3 linked regions of the Oryctolagus cuniculus genome follow. The protein of the gene in region 2 interacts with the protein of the main gene of each other region in a pairwise test. Links are inferred from orthologs where the notes say so. Each region holds a gene or a part of one and is shown on either strand. Other genes may lie near its edges. The genes, in order: MAD2L1BP, INPP5K and ARL6IP1.

Region 1 (6,858 bases), on a different chromosome or scaffold from region 2:
CTTTGCTCTGCAAGCCCAAACAGAAACACCTGACCCAGCACCCTCTGGGAAAAGCAACCTTTGATTCAACAAGCTGTAGCTCAGGGATGATTACCATGGTCCTAGCCACACACCGTCAGCCCCCCGGAAGTGTGAGGAGGGGAGGCAGCCAGGACAGTGCCTTCCCCTCTCACCGGGAAGCAACGCCAGCTCCAAGCGAGAGTCGGGTGGCTCGGTGCCGAAGGGAGCCGGGCCATTCGGCCATCCGTTTCCAGGATGAGGAAGCGTCCTCCGTCACTCGTGGAAGCCTTTCAGCGTCACTGGGGCCTGGAACCAGATGTAATCGTCCGAAGCCACTGTTGGGTCGGAAGGCCTGCCGCAGGACAGGCTCACGGTCAGTTTGTGGCCGCGGCTGGGCACGCGGTAGTTGAGCTTGGGTCGAAACCAATCTTCTCCACAGTCACGGTGCCCCTGAGCCATGACGATGGTGCCCATGAGCGGTGGGGCCTGCAGCTCGCTAAAGGCGTCAGCCAGGAAAATGGCCCGGAAGAGCCGGCGCAAACAGGCTGCTGTATTCAGGCTCTGGTCCACACTGTAGGGAGCCAGCCGGGACAGGTCAAGTTCGTAGAACTCCTTGGGGCTTAGGGCACTGCCCCCAAGGAGGATCAGCACTCGTGGTACCAGGGTTCGGGCAAAGAGGCCCTCCAGGTGACTGAAGACACTCTCCAGTTCCGCCAGGGCTTGTTGGCATTTCCTGCTGCTGGCCTCGGCAGCCGTCCGCGGCTTCTTCCTCACCACGTCTTCTGCCTGTGACAACAAAGCTTGGTGAGACAGAGAGACAAGGTAGGGGAAGCTAATGCCTTTTAAAGAACCCTGTGAGGGGCGATGGCGCTGTGGTGCAGTGGGTTAATGCCCTGGCTTGAAGCACCGGCATCCTAAATGGGTGCCGGTTCTAGTCCCAGCTGCTCCTCTTCTGATCCAGCTCTCTGCTGTGGCCTGGGAAAGCAGTGGAGGATAGCCCAAGTGCTTGGGCCCCTACACCCAAGTGGGAGACCTGGAAGAAGCTCCTGGCTCCTGGATTTGGATCAGCTCAGCTCCAGCTGTTGCGGCCCACTGGGGAGTGAACCATCAGATGGAAAACCCCTCTCTCTCTCTGCCTCTCCTTTTCTCTCTGTGTAATGCTGACTTTCAAATAAATAAATAAATCTTAAAAAAAAAAAAAAGTGGGGGGCGGGGGCGGCGGCACTGTGGCATACTAGGTTAAGCATCTGCCTCCGGAGCTGGCATCTCATATGGGTACCAGTTCTGGTCCCAGGAGCTCCACTTCTGATTTGGCTCCCTGCTGATGGCCTGGGAAAGCAATAGAAAATGGCTCAAGAGCTTGGGCCCCCAGCACCCACATGGGAGCCCCAGAAGAAGCTCCTGGCTCCTGGCTCCGATCAGCCTAGCTCCAGCTCTTGCAGCCATTTGGGAAGTGAAACAGATGAAAGACCTTTCTCTCTCTCTCCCTCTCTCTCTTAACTCTGTTTCTCAAGTAAATAAATAAATCTTAAAAAGACTGAACGTCTAGCTCAATGAATGTCATCGCCACATCACTGGGCTTTATCAACATCACAGCAAAAAGTGAAATCTACTCTTTGTGCCATAGTTCTCCCACCCTTCCAACAGCCAAGAGAGCGGCCAGATATAAGAAGCTAAGATAGCCAAGGAAATTTGGTGGCATGCCACAAAGCAGTCAATTTTTGCTGGGGTATATATGTATGTATGTATGTGTATATATATATATGTATATATATATGTATATATATATGAGAGCAAAATAAACTCATTTTGGGGGGAAAAAGAGCAAAGAGCATATGCGAAAGTTAAGAACTCTTAACAATGATTGCCAAAAAAAAAGAATAAGTTGTATTGGTGTTGGAATATAAAGTCAAAGAACTCCCCCATCAAGGAAAAACCAAACATGAAAATTTGGAGAAAAGAAACTAAAATGTAAAGGCTCAACTCTTCGAGTCCAAAAGCAACACTTAATAGGGGTTTCGGGAGAAGACAGCAAGAGGGAAAAAACCAGAGAGGGTCACCCCGCTGAAGACGCGAGCGCGGAGCCAGCGCCGCCGACTGTCCCTGCAGATGGCTCGGATCCCCGTTCCACCTGCTCGCCAGGCAAGAGCCGCGACGTCTCCCCCCCGTAGCCCGTGCCTACCTGGGGAGAAGGTTTTCGGTAGAAGTGCTTCAGCTGTTCGTAGGGCAGAGGCAGCTGCTGGCGCTGGTACATGATGTGCTTGAGCAGTTCACAAGTAAAGCGGCAGCAGCCTTCCCGGCTCACCGGCCCGGGAAACACCACCGGCACCATGCAGTCTCTCGGGCAGCAGTGCTCCGCAGAGCCGGGAGCCTCGGGGGCAGAGGCAGTCTCCGGCAGTTCCACCGGGGAGCCGTGAATTTCTTCCGACTGGTCAAACCACTCCAGATCTAGGACACAAGAGAGGGAAATGAGACACAAGCCAGGGTCGGGCTTCGCATTCCCTGCGGCCACCACGCACACCCCGACGCCGCAGATACCCTAGTGCGTACGTGCGGGATTCCTGACCCCCGCGGCCGTACATGACTAAGTGGCCGATACGAGAGAGATTCCCGGTCAGTGACTGAGGCTCTACTCAGAAATCGGGCTCCTGACCCAGGGAAAAGAGGGCGAGGCGCAGTCTCATCGGAGAGCGGACGAACCCGGAGCTCGGAACCAGAAGGACCAGAGGCGCGGTGATAGGACAGGACGGCAGTAGGGAAGAAACAGGGCCCCGAGGAGCCGCAAGCCCGGGCCCCCATGCCTTACCAGTGCCTGCGGCCGGCGACGGGATTTCCGGCTCCGGGGCCGCCATCGCGACCTCCTCCCTCAGCTCCGTGCGTTAGAATGATCGGCCCGCGGAGCGTCATGGGAAGCCCTCTCCACTTCCGGCTCGGCCGGAAGGGGGCGCGGCGCCACCGCCCTGGGGCGGGGTCGGGGGTGGAGCCCGCGCTGGCACCCTTAGCCCTCCGGCTACCGCGAGCCCAGGCGCTCGCGGCCACCCGCCCTCTAGCAGCCATTCATTCTTGGGTTCATTACTTTCTTCACGCCGGGCCCTGTCCTCGGTGCTGGAGGCTCCGCCGGGGACAAGCCCGGCGCGGGCCCTGCCGTCGAGGGGGGCACTGCCTATGCGTACAGTGCAATGGGATGCGTTGATACAGTGGGGTATACAAGGGCTGGGGGAGGGAAGAACTGGGGCGCCTAACCCAGAGCGGGTTGGGGCAGGGGTACGTGGTTCCAGAAGAAATGTGTGAAGATGTTGTGACCTTGTCAGTTAGCAAGGTAAAGAGGAGACCCCAAGAGACAAGAACATCATCCCCTGTTCAAGGAATGAAGAATTCCTAAAGCGCTGGGGCGTGGAGGAGACAGGATCATGACAGGATCTTCTAAGCTTTGATAGGCTTTGAACTCGATCCCCCGTAGGGAGGTAGGGAAGCTGTTTATAAGTAGGGGAAGTGACATGATTATGTTCACATCTTTCCCGTTTAATCTCCCTGCTGGCTGCACTGTAGAAGTTGGATTACAGGGAGGATAAAAGACAGGGACAGGGGTTCTAGTTCGAGGTAGTGCTGAGACAGAACGGAACCAGGGTAGTGGCAGGGGAGGGAGAGAACTGGGTGAGTCCTGGAGATACAAAGGGGCCCAATGAGCATAAATTAGTAGTTGATCCGAGGAAACAGACTGTCCAGGCTGGCGTTATAGTGCGGTGGGTTAAGCCACTGTCTGCAGTGCCGTATCATATATGGGCACCGGTTCAAATCCTGGATGCTCCGCTTCTGATCCAGCTCCCTGCTAATGTGCATGGCCCAAGATGGCCCAAGTGCTTGGGCCCCTGCACCCACGTGGGAGACCTGGAAGAGGCTCCTGGCTTCGGCCTGGCCTAGTCCAGGCTGTTGCAGCAGTTTGGGGAATGAACCAGTACTTGGAAGATCTCTTCTGCCTCTCCCTCTCTGTCTGTAACTCTGATAAACCAATCAATCAGTCAGTCTATAAAAAAGAAAAACCAGCAGGGTTGTGACTCCAGCAACTGAATTACTAGGCGCTCCATTCGATGAAAGATGGAGCAATAAACGAGGACCAGATCTACTAGGAGGTGAGAAGAAAAGATGAAACCTGCTTTTGATGGGCTGGGTTCAGTGTCACCACAGGACAGTGAATAGAGACATTTAGAAACACCATTTGGGACAGACAGCCATTAGTATGGGAGTGGATAGGATCACTCTGGGAGGCTGCAGAGTAAGTTGGGCAAGGTGGGTTAAGCCAGCAGCCCATAGGGGTATGTTTGAGTCCTGGCTGCTCCACTTCTGATCCAGCTCTCGACTATGGCCTGGGGAAGCGGTAGAAGATGGCCCAAGTCCTTGGGCCCTTGCACCCACATGGGAAACCCTGAAGAAGCTTCTGGCTCCCAGCTCCTGGCTTCGGATTGGTCCACTGCTGCCATTTGGAGAGTTAACCAGTGGATGGAAGGATTCTCTCTCTGCCGGCCCCTCCCCCACTTTTTAAAAAATATATTTATTTATTTGAAAGATAGAATTGGGCTGGCACCGTGGCTCACTAGGCACACTGGGTTCTAGTCCCAGTCGGGGCGCCGGATTCTGTCCCGGTTGCTCCTCTTCCTGTCCAGCTCTCCGCTCTGGCGTGGGAGTGCAGTGGAGGATGGCCCAGGTGCTTGGGCCCTGCACCCGTGTGGGAGACCAGGAGGAAGCACCTGGCTCCTGGCTTCAGATTGGCACAGCACACCAGCCGTAGCAACAATTTGGGGGATGAACCAACGGAAGGAAGACCTTTCTCTCTGTCTCTCTCTCTCTCACTGTCTAACTCTGCTTGTCAAAATAAAATAAAATAAAAAGAAAGGCAGAATTACAAAGAAAGAGGGAGAGACATAGACAGAGTCATTCCATCTGCTGGTTTACTTCCTAAATAGCCATAATGACTCGGGCTGGGCCAGGCTGAAGCCAGGAGCTTGGAATTCCATCCAGATCTCCTGCATGAATTGCAGGGACCCAAGTAATTAGGCCATTTTCTGCTGCTTTTCCAGGTGCATTAGCAGGAAGCCAGATCAGAAATGGAGCAGCCAAAACCTGAACTGGTGCCCATAAGGGATGCTGGCATCATAAGCAGCGGCTTAACCTGTTGCACCACAATGTCAGACCTATTATGTGTATGTTTATTTCTGAGCCAATACCACAGTATTTTAATCATACTTTTCTGGTATGTTTTAACATCTAGTATTCCTGAAACAGATTCTTTTCTTGCCCTCCATAACCTGACACTTGTCTATTTTTCTTTCTACTTGTATAATCTAGGCACTTCTCAGTCTCCTCCACAGGTTCTTTTCACTCTCTGCTTATCCCATTAACAGTGTCATCTGGATCCTAGGCCCTCCCACCTCATTTTTGAAGATGCATTTAAAGATTCTTAAAGTTGTATTCATTTGTCTGAAAGGCAGAGTTATAAGAGCCGGAGCTGTGGCATAGCAGGTTAAGCCTCCGCCTTTGGCATTAGCATCCCTTATGGTGTGCCAGTTAGTGCCTCAGCTGCTCCACTTCCAATCCAGCTCTCTGCTAATGTCCCTGGGAAAGCAGAGGAAGGTGTCCCAAGTGCTTGGGTCTCCACAGCACGTGGGAGACCCAGAAGAAGCTTCTGGGCCGGCACCGCGGCTCACTAGGCTAATCTTCCGCCTAGCGGCGCCGGCACACCGGGTTCTAGTCCCGGTCGGGGCGCCGGATTCTGTCCCAGTTGCCCCTCTTCCAGGCCAGCTCTCTGCTGTGGCCCAGAAGTGCAGTGGAGGATGGCCCAAGTGCTTGGGCCCTGCACCCGCATGGAAGACCAGGAGAAGCACCTGGCTCCTGGCTTCGGATCAGTGTGGTGCGCCGGCCGCAGTGCGCTGGCCACAGCGACCATTGGGGGGGGGGGGGTGAGCCAATGGCAAAAGGAAGACCTTTCTCTCTGTCTCTCTCTCTCACTCTCCACTCTGCCTGTCAAAAAAAAAAAAAAAAAAAAAAAGTTGGGGGAGGAAGGGAAGCATTGTGGTACAAAGGATTAAGCCAGCACCTGTGATCCCAGCATCCCTTATGGACACGGGTTCAAATCCCAGCTGCTCCACTTTTTGTTGTTGTTGTTGTTAAGATTTATTTATTTATTTGAAAGTCAGAGTTACACAGAGAAAGGAGAGGCAGAGAGAGAGAGGTCTTCCACCTGCTGGTTAACTCCCCAAATGGCCACAACAGCTGGAGCTGCACCGATCCAAAGCCAGGAGCCAGGAGCTTCTTCTGGGTCTCCCATGGAGGTGCAGGGGCCCTAAGACTTGGGCCATCTCTACTGCTTTCCTAGGCCATAGCAGAGAGCTGGATCGGAAGTGGAGCAGCCGGGACTCGAACCGGCGCCCATATGGGATGCCGGCACTGCAGGTGGTGGCTTTACCCCCTATGCCACAGTGCTGCCCCTCCCACTTAATTACTTCATTTATTTGAAAGACAGAGTTACAGAGAGACAGAGAGATAGAAAGATCTTCCATCTGCTGATTCACTCCCCAAATGCCACAACGGCCAGAGCTGGGCAGGTGTGAAGCCAGGAGCTGGGAGCTTCTTCCAGGTCTCCCACATGGGTGCAGGGGCCCAAGGACTTGGGCCATTCTCCATTGCTTCCCCAGGCACATTAACAGGGAGCAGGATTGGAAGTGGAGCAACAGGGACTCAAACTGGCATCATGGGTGGTGACTTTACTTGCTAAGCCACAGTGCTGGCCCCACTGTCCCACTTCTGATTCACTTAAACGTATGCACAGACGGAGTTCCTAGCTCCAGCTTCAGCCTGGCCCAG
Region 2 (6,767 bases):
TAAGTCCTAGAGCCCAGTTCAGCTCTTGCTACTGTGGAAAGACACAAAGCCAGCAGAAGATCAAGGGAAGCAGGTGTGAGTGACACAGAGGCCAGCATCGTGGCGCAGCAGATTAAGTCACTGCTTGTGACATTGGCATCCATAGCTGAATCCTGGTTAGAGTCCCAGATGCTCTGCTTTGGATTCAGCTTCATGCTAAGGAGTATGGGAAGGCAGCATACGGTGGCCTGAGTATCTGGGTTCCTGCCATCCACATGGGAAAGCCAGATGGAGTTCCTGGCCCCTAACTCTGCCTTTCAAATAAACAAATCTTAAAAATATAAACTTTTAAGGGGCCATCAAAGAAGGAGGTACCTTTCTCTGAAGGGAGGAGAGAACTTCCACTTTGATTATGGCCTTGTCTAAATAATGTCAGAGTTTGTGGACTCAAGAGGCTTCCAACGCCTTGGCAGCTCATGAAGAGCCTCGGGTGATTATTGATGTCATAAATAAGAGTGCCAATTGTTAAATCAACAACGGGAGTCACTGTACACTTGCTCCCCATGTAGGACCTCTGTCCTTAATGTGTTGTACTATGAGAATTAACAGTAAAACTAGTCTTCAAACAGTACTTTATACTTTGTGTGTCTGTGTGGGTACAAACTGTTGAAATCTTTACTTAGTATAGAGCTGATCTTCTGTATATAAAGATAATTAAGCCGGTGCTCTGGGGCAGCAGGTTAATGCCCTGGCCTGAAGCGCCGGCATCCCATATGGGTGCCGGTTCTAGTCCCGGCTACTCCTCTTCTGATCTAGCAATCTGTTATAGCCTGGGAAAGCAGTAGAAGATGGCCCAAGTCCTTGGGCCCCTGCATCAAAGTGGGAGACCTGGAAGAAGCTCCCGGCTCCTGGCTTTGGATCGGCGCAGCTCTGGCCATTGAGGTCATCTGGGGAGTGAACTAGTGGATGGAAGACCTCTCTGTCTGTCTCTGCCTCTCTCTGTAACTCTGTCTTTCAAATAAATAAAATAAATATTAAAAAAAAGATAATTAAAAATGAATCTTAATGAAGAATGGGATGGGAGAGGGAGTAGGAGGTGGGATGGTTTGGGTAGTGGGAGGGCGGATATGGGGGGAAGAACTGCTATAATCCAAAAATTGTACTTATGAAATTTATATTTATTAAATAAAAACTTTCTATAAAATATATATATAAATATATAAATATATATTTATATATTATATATTTATGTATATATATATTTATATATATATAAATAAAGTTTTGGGGCCAGCACTGTGGCATAGCAGGCAAAGCCTCTGCCTGTGGCGCCAGCATTCCATATGGGTATGGGTTTGAGTCCCAGCTGCTCCACTTCTGATCCAGCTCCCTGCTAATGCGCCTGGGAGAGCAGTGGAATATTGCCGAAGTGCTTGGGTCCCTGCACCCATGTGGGAGACCCAGAAGAAGTTCCTGGCTCCTGGCTTTGGCCTGGCCCAACTCTAGCCATTGTGGGCATTTGTGGAGTGAACCAGCAGATGGAAGATAGCTCTCTGCCTCTTTCTCTCTCTCTAACTCTGCCTTTCAAATAAATAAGTAAATCTTTAACAAAAAAAAAGTCAGTTGGAAACACCTGCATAAAAAATAAATGAACTTTTAACAGATGGGACACATCACAAAAGGCTGATGGGGACTAAGAGGAATATAGCGCCTGGGGCTCGGTGGAGGCGAGACACATCTCTCACTTCTCTGTCCTCCGTGAACTTGCACGTTACCTTGACGAAGCTCAGAGGGGCAAGCACATCCATGAAGAAACTGCTCCACGGGTCTTCAAAGGCAGTATCGGAAATGAAGCTTACAATCCCAGAGTTCATTTCCTGCAAACTGACCACCCCAGGTCAGAGGCTTGTCCCCGGCCGAGGGCAGAGCCTCTGCCACAGACATTCAGCACTGCCCTCAGAGGACCTGAAGCCTCCGTCGGTGACCACGCTTCCTCCCTCCCTGGCTGCCTGGCTACCGGCCTCCAGTTCCCTGCCACTGCTGCCCTCGGACAGCAGACACAGCACCAACCCCACTTGGGCTGACAGCTCCTTGTCTGCAGCCTCCACAGCACCGACCCCACTCGGGCTGACAGCTCCCTGCCTTCCGCCTCCACAGGTTACTGCTGTTCTCCGTGGGCACAGCTTGAGACCGGTCAGGCTGATCTCAGACACAGGGCTGGCAGAAGGGGCCCTGCGGACACCTACCCAATAACATACATGTCCAGGTCCAGGTCCTGGTTGTTCAGCTGAAGCAGGTCACTGAGGTCTTTAGGGGGTGCTGCGGAGGCTACATTCCAGGTCACGACATGCATACTGTGGAAGGGGCGCAGAAAGCGTCATGGAGGAAGGAGGACAACAGACACGGTGGCCCCCCACACCGCTGCAGTCACATGGAAAACACGCGTTTCTGCATCTGATGGAGGAAGCAGAGGTACTGGACTACAAGCCCTGGGTCTTCACCTGTGTCCCCCGGAGCAGGACATCTGTGCCCCAGACTGGCTGCTCCATACAGACCCACAGCTGCCCACACTTGCTGTTCACATTAGCAGAGCTGCCAAACGGAGCCCAGAGCTTGTGGGCTGGGCAGCCAGGGTTTCCCGAAATGCACCAGCTGCACCAGCCATCCACACCTCACCTCAGCCAGCATCTATGGCTGACAGCGACTTCCGGCCCCCACGTCTCAACCCCGGGAGTTTGGAAACCACCAGGAAGACTGGGACGGAAAGACGGGAGGAGGAGAGCTCAGACTGCACCTTGCGAAGGCCTCAGCACTACAGCACCGCCGGAGAGACGCCACGCTCCCTTCCTCCACTTGCTCCCAGCAGATTCCCGCAGCACAACCAATTCTGGGAAGCACTTAGGGAGCCCAAGGAGAACTTCTAAGTGTCTCTCAACATCTCTCTCCAATCTCCCTGTCCCTGGGAAAGTCATCTTCGGGTGCCATTCTCCACCTCTGCTCCACACAGATTCTAGGGGAGCAAGAGCCAATTCGGTGGCTCTCAGAGCCTCGGCGCAAGGAGGGACTTGCACACAGAGCAGTTAACAGAAATCTGCCCAAGCAGCCCCAGGAGCTGCAAATCCCGCAGAGTTCACGAACAGCCAGCAGGCTGCACCAGTCCCAGGTGCACCGAGAGGAGGAAGACCCGCTGCTGTGGAAGGTCCAGCCTAGGAGATGGGGGGAAGGGGGCCGCTCCCATATGCCTCTGCTCCACCAGAAGGAAATTCTTGGCCGGCTTAAAGCAATTTCCTGCCCCTCCCCAAGAATATAAACAAACAACTCCAAGCCCACCTTCCCAGGCACCCGGTGGACAAAGTATTTCATCTGTTTACGATCTCCCCCTGCTGTCCGACAGAGGATTAAGAAAGCAAGCCCTTTCACTCAAAGGCCCCTTGTTTTCCCAGGCACCTGCTCTAAGTGCGTGGGGACCAGAGTTGGGATTTCTTGTCCCCACACTCAGGTCGGACGCTTAGGCGCAAATCCACACTCGTGATTCCCACCAAGTGGGTGATTAGCCCCGTTCCTCCTGAAAGAGCAGGCATGAGACCAGGCGACACCACTTCCCCGAAGGTTCTTATCTTAATCCGATTTCGGATTTCCGGAGGTCATAACGGGATCAGGCAGACCTCATGATGCATGTGCCGATCACAAACAGGAATGAGATTTCACCGCGACAGCCCAACACAACTGTCTGCTCCAGACACCTGCTAACTGGGCCACCCCTGCCCTGCTTGGAGTGTTCCAGTGGGGACGCGCTCGGCGGCCCAAGTTCAGAGGGGGCGCGAGGCTCAGGTCCAGTAAATCCCACTAGACCCTGGCCTGGGAGAATGTGGGAGGGCCTCTGGGTGAGGGCAGCCGCAGAAGCCTGTTCCCCTCCCTTCCAGTCTGGTCAGTCCCCAGCCCCCAGGTCCGCAGCCCCGGTGCGGCTGAAGGCAGCGACCGGCCCGAGCAGGCGTCTTCCTCACCTGAGTTTCCAGACATTCGGCTCGCTGGGCTTCTGCTCGCTCACGGAGGCCATCACGCTCTCGGGGTCGTCCGGCAGGCTCACGTCTGACTGCTCCGGCTCCTCGCTGCTGGACTCCTCCTGGTCCAGCTCCATGGCTCGGCCGCCTCACTCTCGCCGACTGTTTTTCTTCCGGATTCTGGCCGTCCGCCTCGGCTCCCGTAAGGGGCGGACCTCGAGCAAACCCAGGGCTCTGGGTGGTGCGGCTCGGCGAAGGAGGCGGGACCCTCCAGCGAGCGCGGCGCCGCCAGAGGCTGAGAGAAAAGGGCCCGGGGAGCCGGGCGTCAGCGAGGCGTGGCCTGCCCGTCCTCAGCGCACGACGTAACACTGCCCGCCGCCGGCACCCGGGCCCGCCTCGCGCGAGGCGGCGGGAGAGCCGTCTTCCGGCGGAAGTCGCTGCCGCGCCCGCGTCTCGGGGCCGCCGGTGCCTCGCTCGGGGTCTGTCTGCGGGCCTGGGTTTTGTGCTGTCCTCCAGCTTCCCGCCACGCAGAGACGTGCTCGGCCACGTAGCCACTGTCCCGCCTATGACCCGGGTCCCCCAACCGCAGGTAACCCCCGGCTCCACGCCGCGCTCGCACGGCCATTCCTGGTTCTAATCTATTCCACCTTCAAGTGGCCTTCGCTTTTCAAACTCATTGGTTTGCCTGTTACACACGGGACGCCTCCGGGTTCCTGGACTCAGGGAAAATAAGTCACTGCTTCTATTTGGTCTGCACTGAAGACCAGGCACCACAGAGATGACGGACAGCGCTCAAGATTCACTGCGAGTTCACTCCTTGGCTCAGTCTAAGGGGGCGGGGATGGAGGTGCACACAATCTAAGAAACGGGCTGCATCGGTCCGCAGGCCCCGCAGCCAGGTTCAGAGCTGTCTGAACTGTTCTGCTGGCTAGTGAACGGGGAGGTGTGGGGAGCGGGAAGCGCCGTGGGAACGGGCAGAACATGGCTGCATCACATTCAGCCGAGCTGTGTCAAGTGCGTTGACAAAGGTCGTCTTAATTTATGGAAATTCACCCGTGCAATTTAAGAGACATCATTGAACCTCTTCCTTACCCTGCCCTGGTAAAATGGGGGACATCAGTAAGAGTTTGAGACTATCTAAGTTGTAAAATGGGCATCAAAACATCACCAATAATTAGCTGGACTCCAGACAGCTCTGTCTAGGATTTTATTAGACTGCTGTTTTTTCCCAATATACCTGTATTGGAAGATTGAGACAAAAAGGCACAAACCCACATTAAATAAACAAGGTAATCTAATCAGTTCTACAAAGTGTAGTTTGTAAAAGAAGGAGCACTAGGAACCAACCAAAATGTCAGGGCGTCCCAGTAGGGACTGTAAAAGGAGAACTTGGGAAGGTAATACCAGGGGACCTCAAAACCGACCTCATCTCCAACCTTGGTGAGAGGACCAGAGCCCAGCACCCCTGCTGCAGAGGCAGCTGCTCGGAGGGGTGCGGCACCCCCTGGGGTGCTCTCCTGGAGCTGAGCCCCTTTGAGTGCTTGTCAGTTTCCGGGCTGGGGGCGGGGTATTTAAAAGTAGCCAAGGCTGTTGCCCAGCAGCAACACTGTCCCGAGGGCAGAGCAGGCCAGTGACTTCTTCCTTGATGCTGTTGTGGGCAGGGGCCCCATAGCCAAGTTGACCCCAGGAATGCTAGCTCAGCTCAGTGGGATGCTTTCAAACTGGGGCAACGGGGAGCCGTGCGAGTGGTCAGAGACACAAGCGCCCCACCCCAAGCACTGACATGATATGTGTGGATCTCAAATAGTTGAAGGAAGGAGACAGACCTGCTGACCCTCAGGCCACGTAAGCCACCGAGGCCTAGAATATGTTTGTGTTTTCCAGGATGACCCACATCTGGACTTCACCTAGTGATGAATGAAGAAGGAACATCTTTAAGCACAAGTATAATTAATAGCTAATACAGAGCTTGTAGGAAAACATTTACATTTCTCTCCAGTAGGAATGCCTCTTCTCCAACTTTCCCAGTCAGATAAATGCTACCAGCGTTGAGATGCTAATAAGCAGCTGCAGTGCCCCACAAGGTGAGGAGACTGTAACAGGGCATCTCCTGGTCCCAGAGGGACCTCAGTGAAGGTCAGAGCTAACCATGCTGAGGGGTCCAAGTCTGTCCACCTTTGCCCAGGAGACCCACAGGGAAGCAGCCACCAGGATGGCACAGGTGCAGTCCTGTGAGACACTCCCTTATTGCACTTAGAAATGAGTAAGGCAAACATAAGGATCAATTATGCCATCCCACGTCTCACTCCCCAGCAGATCTGGTCTCTCAGCCCCGGGCCCCGGCCAGGCTGGGCTTGGAGCGCACACTCAAGCTGACATACTTCACAAGGTCTGGGAATGTCAGGGGAGACCACAGCTGGCTCAGACTCCCCCACCAGCGAGGCACACTCAGGTCCTGCCACGTCGTAGGAGATGGGAGCAGCTTTTACTCCTCTGGAGCCTGCACTCTTCACCAGCCTGCTTCGGCAGAGGTCTATACTATGGTCACTATTTGCTTTTGATTGTCCAGGACAGAACTCAGCATGGGAGCAGGCCGAGCTGAGTTCTCGATTCCCACATTCCTTTCCAGCAACTGGAGGCGAGACAGAACGTGTTCTGGAAAAAAGCTTTTTGCATGCTCATTTGTGCAGCATGGAAAGATCAGGACTCTTGCATCCTAACCAACCTCAAAGACAGAGGACAGGGATCTAAGAAAGCACAGAGAAAAGAGCATTATTGCTGAGTGGC
Region 3 (6,815 bases), on a different chromosome or scaffold from region 2:
AGAGCTGGATGGAAAGTGGAGCAGCCGGGTCTTGAACCGGCGCCCATATGGGATGCTGGCGCTTCAGGCCAGGGCATTAACCCACTGCACCACAGCACCAGCCGCATCCTCAGCCTTCTACAACAACTTTTCTCACTTTTTAGGATTTATTTTTTTGTCTACTTCTTAGTGTTCTAAATTCTTCCCCATAACCTCTCATTTCAGTAAAAATGGCCAAGCAGCAGAAGTGTGCATCAAGTCAACACTTGACCTGCCAGCTTCATACAACTTTCATAAAAAGCAATCAAATCAGCAAGTCTCTTGATTTTGGCCTAACATACAGTATTGAAAAACTCTCAATAAGTGATTATTTCTAATATTATCAAGTTAGTCTAAGCAAATATAGAAAGCAAGCTTAAAGATAACTGTGGGGGAGGGCCATGCTGTGGCGTAACGGGCTAAGCCTCCACCTGCGGCACTGGCATCCCACATGACCAACAAGTTGAGTCCAGGCTGCGCCACTTTCCCTGCTGATGGCCTCAGAAAGCAGAAGACGATCCAAGTGTTCGGGCCCCTGCATCCACATGGGAAACCCAGAAGAAGCTCCTGGCTCCAGGCTTTGGATGAGCCCAGCTCTGGCCATTGTGGCCATTTGGGGAGTGAATCAACGGATGGAAGACTTTTCTCTCTGTGTCTTCCTCTCTCTGTAACTATACCTCTCAAATAAATAAATAAAAACTTAAAAAAAATAAAGATAACTGTGGGGAGGGCCCATAACCAACAGCAAATACACTAGTTTAAGTTCTTTCTTAAATGCTTTGGGCATTTTTTAACATAGTATATATTGGTTTCTCATAATGACAAAGGCAATTTAGTGGAGGAAGCTTCTTTTTGATATTTGAAACTTAAAGGTCCAAACATTTCACAGCACCGAGACAAGTGTCTCACCCAGCAGACTGCTCCTGGTCACTACATGACTGTGGACTACAGTCGACCAGTTACCTTTTCCTATTTATTCAAGAATAGTTTGTGAAATAGCTGATCACCTCAAATATCAACAGAAATGGAAATGTGCACCTGTTAGGGAAAGCTCACTGAGATGTTTGTTAGTCCTCACTGAAACTGTACCTTCAGAAAGCCCGTGGCAGTAAATGTAAGTTTAAACCACACGGGTGAAGGTGAAAACGCCTGAATGATTCGACAAGGCTCTGCACTTAATCACAGCACAGTAGCCACGGCCACCAGGTTCAGGAAGGCCTCTGAAATTAAACCGGCAAATCACTGTGTCACTTACCATTTATTGGAGCCAAAAATCCTGGGTGCTAGAATGGGAACAAGGTAGTCAGCCAAGCACAAAAACATAACAAAGCAGGAAACACCGGACAGAACAGATGGGTCCAGATAGTAGATAATCCTGTTAAAAAAAATTAAAGAAGCTTAGAAAACAGCCAGTATTATGCCTGGCTGCAGATGCTTAATTTCACAATTCACTCAGTGCCGTGGTTCTCAGAGACGTTATTTGGCACTAATTTCCTCACCAGTGGTTTCCAGAGGCTTCATAGCATGATGACGTCACAGCCGCAGTGGCTGATATAAATACCAACCTACAAAGGCTTTCGGAAACCCCCAGTACTTTTTAAGATTGTAATGGTAAGATGGTAATGGTTTTGAGCCAAAAGGCTTGAGAGTCACCGAGTTATTCAACTGCGTCAAGTTACCAAGCTTACATAAGTACTACCAACTGTGGAAACCCAGCACGGCTTGTAAGAAAAGGCATTCTTGATGGATTACAGGCTACAAAAGGCTTCATTAAGGTGCTGCCCTGAACAGAGCCTTCAGCGCTACCAAGCGCACGCAGCCCATGGAGTCCCCCGGCTCACTTACAGAAACACCAGGGAGACCACAGCCAGGAGGGCAGGCGGGAACCAGGCTCTCTCCCACCGCAGCACTTTGTCGGCCAGAAGCATCACCTCTCCCCAGCCCTGCAGCTGCTCCTCCAGACTCGCCGTCTCTGCAGCCTACACGGGGCAGAAGGGAAAGCGGCCATTTCATCACTCAGCATCTCCGTGGTTCTAACAGTTACATCTTCCCAAGGCCAATCAATAGGTGAAACACCTCCTCATTCCAATCTTCAACAGTTTCCTTTCTGAGGAACTCTGCAATTTTGTACCAAAGATGGGAATCAACCAGGGGGCTAGGGGAAGCCTCTCCTTGTTTTTTTTTTTTTTTTTAAGATTTTATTTGAAAGAGTTACAGAGAGAGGTAGAGACAGAGAGAAAGAGAGAGGTCTTCCATCCCCTGGGTCACCCTCCAGATGGCTGCAACTGCTGGAGTTGCACTGATCCAAAGCCTAGGAGCTCCCTCCCCATCTCCTACGCGGGTGCAGGGCCCCAAGGACTCGGGCCATCTTCTCCTGGGCAGAGCCCACCCTGTAGTGAATCCAAGCACGGGGCGACTCCTCACATACATGATGGAGCTCAACCCTTACAGAGCTGGCAATGTAGGGATGCGACTCATTTCACAGTGAAAGCAAGTGGGCTCCAAACCTTCCCAGGCGTGGACAGGCAATCAGTGGCAGCACCCAGAGTGCTAATCAGATTAGACCACTCCAGGTTTGTTCATTTCAGGTGGTGGGAACTGGCCCGCAGCTCACTCACTTCATCCATCTCAATCCTACTCTCAATCCATTAGGAAAGCCTTCCCCTGAGCCGCACTCACCTTCTAAAACGGCTCTGTGTAACGGGAGCACTGAGATAGTGGGCTCCATTGCAAAATTAAGGAAAACAGCTTTCCAAATTACAAGTGCCATTCTACAGCGCTTCCTGTCGCTCGGGGTAGACTTCCAGTGTTCCTGCAGCCCTGACATCCCAAAGTGGGCCTTGAAGACGAGCTCAGGCCACAAACTCCCTGAAGCTCATCTTGGTAAAGGAGAAAACACTGGAACAGGAAACCCCAACGTCCCTGTGAGTACTTCCCCTTAGAACTAGGTGTCCTGGCTTTATCGCTCACGCTTACGACTAGTTAAATCAGAGATCACATGTGCCAAGAACCTTAAACTTCGCCTGATCCTCTCAATCGCCCTAGAAAGAAGGGGTTGTTGCCATCCCCGTTTCGCTGATAAGGAAACTGAGACGCAAAGGAGTTGACAGCGTCGGCCCCGGGAAGTCAAAGGCCTTGCTGTCCCTGCAGTCGGGCTGCTCTGCTGGGGACCCCAGGCTCCAGGTGAGACTCGGCTATTGCAACAGGACTTGGACAGCCTCGCTGTGCTTGCACCGATTCTCTTAGAAAGCAGCAGCGCAAAGCAAAAAACCACGCCCAATGCAAGCCGCCCTTCTGAGTTCGCCAACATCTGGGACCTTGGAACGCTCTCTCGGGTCCTGCCTGGACCGGTGCAGTTAAATCCGAATCCAATACGTCCACCCAAGGCAGGGCCTCGCTGCAGCTCCCCCGGATCCTCTCCAGCCGTCCTGTGAGCTCCCAGCCCCCGGCCTTCCCAACTCCAGGCCCAGGCCCGGTTCCCCATGGGGAGCTCGCAGCCTCCCTGTCCTTGTAAGCTGCGCCAGCTCCAACAGAAATCCTCGGCCGTGGCCCTGGGACCCTCCATCCCCGCTCAAGTCTTAGACGGAGGAGGACGAGCGCTCGCCCAGGGTGAGATCCAAGGCGGACAGGACCGCGGCGAGGCCCGAAAGCCACCGCGCGGCCCCTCGCAGCCCCCGTCCCGCACTCCTCAACCCCCACTCGCAGTGACTAATCACGCGCCCTCCTCGCCCCGCCGCGCACCGCCCACCGGGAGCCGCCCACGAACCCCGAAGGGACGGGGGTCTCCCGGGCTGGGCCGAGGAGGGACGGGCCCGTGGCGGGGACAGGAGCGAGGCCGCGACGACCGTCCCCGCCGAGCCCACCGGCCGGCCCAGCTCGGTTCCTGCGGGCAGGCCTCCGGGACTCACCAGCAGATTGGTGCTGCGATTATCTCCCTCCGCCATCGTCCGTCAAGAGTCGTCTCAGCGAACCCGAGCCGCCTCTCCAACCTCAACCTCCGCTGGAAACCCGCACAGTGAACACAGCGCGAGGGAACGCCCCGCAGGTCGCTTATATAGGCCGGCCGCCTTTCCCGACAGCACCCGCGACGCTCGCTCCTCATTGGGTGAATCGAGCGCAGGTTTCAGGAAAGCCCCACCAACCACAGCTCAGCGCATGACTTGAAATCGAGGTCAAAGGAGAGAGGGGCCGCGCCGGGCAGAGGGGGCGGGGAAACGGAATAACCAATGGGCGCCCAGGGATTGTGCGGCGCCCCGCCCAGGGCTCGCGGAAGCGGTTCAACTGTCGCTGCCGGCGGCGGAGGTTTGGTTGGCCGAGAGTGGACGCCACCGTAGCCGCGGGACCCTCCCGGCGTTGGCTCCGCTCAGCGCCTAAGGAACCCCTCTGGAAAACTGAGTAGTCGTAGAGGTGTGCGGTGTCAGGCGGAGGGCAGAGATGGGCACGCGGCGCGGGACAGTGGCTGGGGCGGGCCGACCGCGAGTCCGTCTCCCAGCGCCGCGGTCCCTCGCCGTCCCCGGCCTGTGAGCGGCTTAACCCAGATTTGTGACTCGTGCCCACCTCGTGAGGTTCTGAGAACCAGTGAATGGAGCTGTTGATGTGGCTTCTGCCGCAGCGTATTCAGGAATGAGGTCTTTGGGTGGGGGTGGGTGTCAAAGTGAGAGAGAAATCCTTCATGGGGCATTTTTTTTTTTTTTAATTTATTTATTCGAGAGGCAGGCAGAGTGAGAGAGGCCTTCCATTCTCCGGTTCACTCCCCAAGTGGCCCCAACGGGTAGGGGGGCTCAGAGCCAGGAGCTTCCTCCGGGGCTCCCATGCAGGTGCAGGGGCCCAAGGACTCGGGCCATCTTCCATTGCTTTCCCAGGCCACAGCAGAGAGCTGGAACTGGTGACCCAATGGGATGCTGGCACTGCAGGCGGCGGCTTTACCCGCTAAGCCACAGCGCCGGGCCCCTTGGTTTAAACTACAAACTCCCCCTGTACCAAGTGATTAATAGCGCCTTCCTTCCATTAGAGAGAGCTGGATGAACTCTGTTGAGATCCTTCTCCATCTTTTCCATCTTGGACTTCAAAATGCGTTAGCAAGCTCTTGTCTGAATCACGCCAAATGTTGGCCTAGACAGAGGTTCGTCTCAGGGAAAGTACTGTACGCTTTATCCTTATAAACCCATGTGTATTAATGCCACCGACTTTATCCTGAAAGCACTCTTCAAATAACAACCAGGTTCTGAAAAGTTCAGGGAAGTCAAAGAAAAGCCCTGAGCAAACTGGACCAACCAGGAGCCTTGTGAACTTAGCGGAAGTGTCAAATCTGACCGCGATCTTTGGGGGCGGGGCGATCACCTGGCCTCCCCAACGTTAGAGGTCTCTGCTATGGGGGACGCTGCAGGAAAGTTCAGGTTGTATAGGTAACGTACAGTCAATAAAGACCTCGTTTGTTTTACATTGAGAGCTGCAGCTCCCATCCACTGGTTCCTTTGCCAAATGGGGCTGGGAAAACCTGACAGGAGTGGAGAACTCAATCCAGGTCTCTCATGTGGGTGTCAGGGACCAACTACTTGAGCCATCATCTAATGCCTCCCAGGATCAATTCAGCAAGAAGCTGAATCGGGGGCTGGCGCTATGACGTAGCAGCTAAAGCTGCCATCTGCGGTGCCGGTTCAAGTCCTGGCTGCTCCATTTCTGCTCAGCTCTCCGCTGTGGCCTGGGAAAGCAGTGAAAGATGGCCCAAGTGCTTGGGCCCCTGCATCCACGCGGGAGTCCCTGAAGAAGCTCCTGGCTTTGGATTAGCCCAGCTCCAGCCATTTGGAGAGTGAACCAGTGGGTGGGAGATCTTTCTGCCTAGCTCTGCCTTTCAAATAAGTAAAATCTTTTAAAACAAAAATGGAATCAGGAGCTCGAACCAGGAGTGGAACCCATGCACTCTAACGTGGGACACAGGCTTAATGCTCACGCTTTGGCAGACTTTAAAGCTCTGGAGTTTGAGGAGCAGGCTCTCCTCTGTCTTTAGAAGAAAAAGGACAAAAAGACCGAAGAATGAGCAGCCACACTGGTGAAGGTGTTGAGCAGAGTGTACAATCTTGCTAGCGGCATACTAACACCCAACTTTAAAGAATGGCCAAAGAGGGCCAGTGCCGCAGTTCACTAGGCTAATTCTCCGCCTAGCGGCGCTGGCACACCGGGTTCTAGTCCCGGTTGCCCCTCTTCCAGGCCAGCTCTCTGCTGTGGCCAGGGAGTGCAGTGGAGGATGGCCCAGGTGCTTGGGCCCTGCACCCCATGGGAGACCAGGAAAAGCACCTGGCTCCTGGCTCCTGCCATCGGATCAGCACGGTGCGCCGGCCGCGGCGGCCATTGGAGGGTGAACCAACGGCAAAAGGAAGACCTCTCTCTCTCTCTCTCACTGTCCACTCTGCCTGTCCCAAAAAAAAAAAAAAAAAAAAAAAAAAAAAAGAATGGCCAAAGAGTTACTAGGCATTTTTTTTTTCCTTAAGATGTATTTATTTTGGAAGAGAGGACGGAGGGAAGGGAACAGAAATATCTCCCATCGACTGGGTCACTCCCCAGATGGCAGCAGCGGGCCAGGGCTGGGCCAGGCTGAAGCCAGGAGCTTTATTCAGGTCTCCCATGTGGGTGGCAGGGGCCTAAACACTTGGAAGCCACCTTCCACTGCTTTTCCCAGGCCACTAGGAGGAAGCTGGATCAGCAGTAGAGCAGCCAGAGCTCCAACCGGCGCCTCGATGGGTTGCAGGCCACGGGTGGCAGCATTATCTGATACCTTTCACAACACAGACCCCAGACTT

Evidence for each region.
Region 1: the proteins of INPP5K (region 2) and MAD2L1BP interact in binary tests that used the Homo sapiens proteins (3 or more experiments, as listed by UniProt). The link is inferred for Oryctolagus cuniculus from reciprocal best matches to the Homo sapiens genes INPP5K and MAD2L1BP.
Region 3: the proteins of INPP5K (region 2) and ARL6IP1 interact in binary tests that used the Homo sapiens proteins (3 or more experiments, as listed by UniProt). The link is inferred for Oryctolagus cuniculus from reciprocal best matches to the Homo sapiens genes INPP5K and ARL6IP1.

What each region holds. Positions count from the first base shown.
Region 1 is NC_091436.1:126,439,739-126,446,596, forward strand, and holds the start of MAD2L1BP (MAD2L1-binding protein), read right to left. Parts: upstream 2,949-6,858; 5' UTR 2,853-2,948; coding exon 2,807-2,852; intron 2,449-2,806; coding exon 2,183-2,448; intron 787-2,182; coding exon 274-786; 3' UTR 1-273. UniProt on the Homo sapiens protein: May function to silence the spindle checkpoint and allow mitosis to proceed through anaphase by binding MAD2L1 after it has become dissociated from the MAD2L1-CDC20 complex.
Region 2 is NC_091448.1:47,056,499-47,063,265, forward strand, and holds the start of INPP5K (inositol polyphosphate 5-phosphatase K), read right to left. Parts: upstream 4,308-6,767; 5' UTR 4,118-4,307; coding exon 3,984-4,117; intron 3,240-3,983; exon of another isoform or gene 2,774-3,239; intron 2,334-2,773; coding exon 2,226-2,333; intron 1,864-2,225; coding exon 1,755-1,863; intron 1-1,754. UniProt on the Homo sapiens protein: Inositol 5-phosphatase which acts on inositol 1,4,5-trisphosphate, inositol 1,3,4,5-tetrakisphosphate, phosphatidylinositol 4,5-bisphosphate and phosphatidylinositol 3,4,5-trisphosphate.
Region 3 is NC_091450.1:20,960,817-20,967,631, forward strand, and holds the start of ARL6IP1 (ADP-ribosylation factor-like protein 6-interacting protein 1), read right to left. Parts: upstream 4,117-6,815; 5' UTR 3,963-4,116; coding exon 3,927-3,962; intron 1,998-3,926; coding exon 1,864-1,997; intron 1,394-1,863; coding exon 1,274-1,393; intron 1-1,273. UniProt on the Homo sapiens protein: Positively regulates SLC1A1/EAAC1-mediated glutamate transport by increasing its affinity for glutamate in a PKC activity-dependent manner.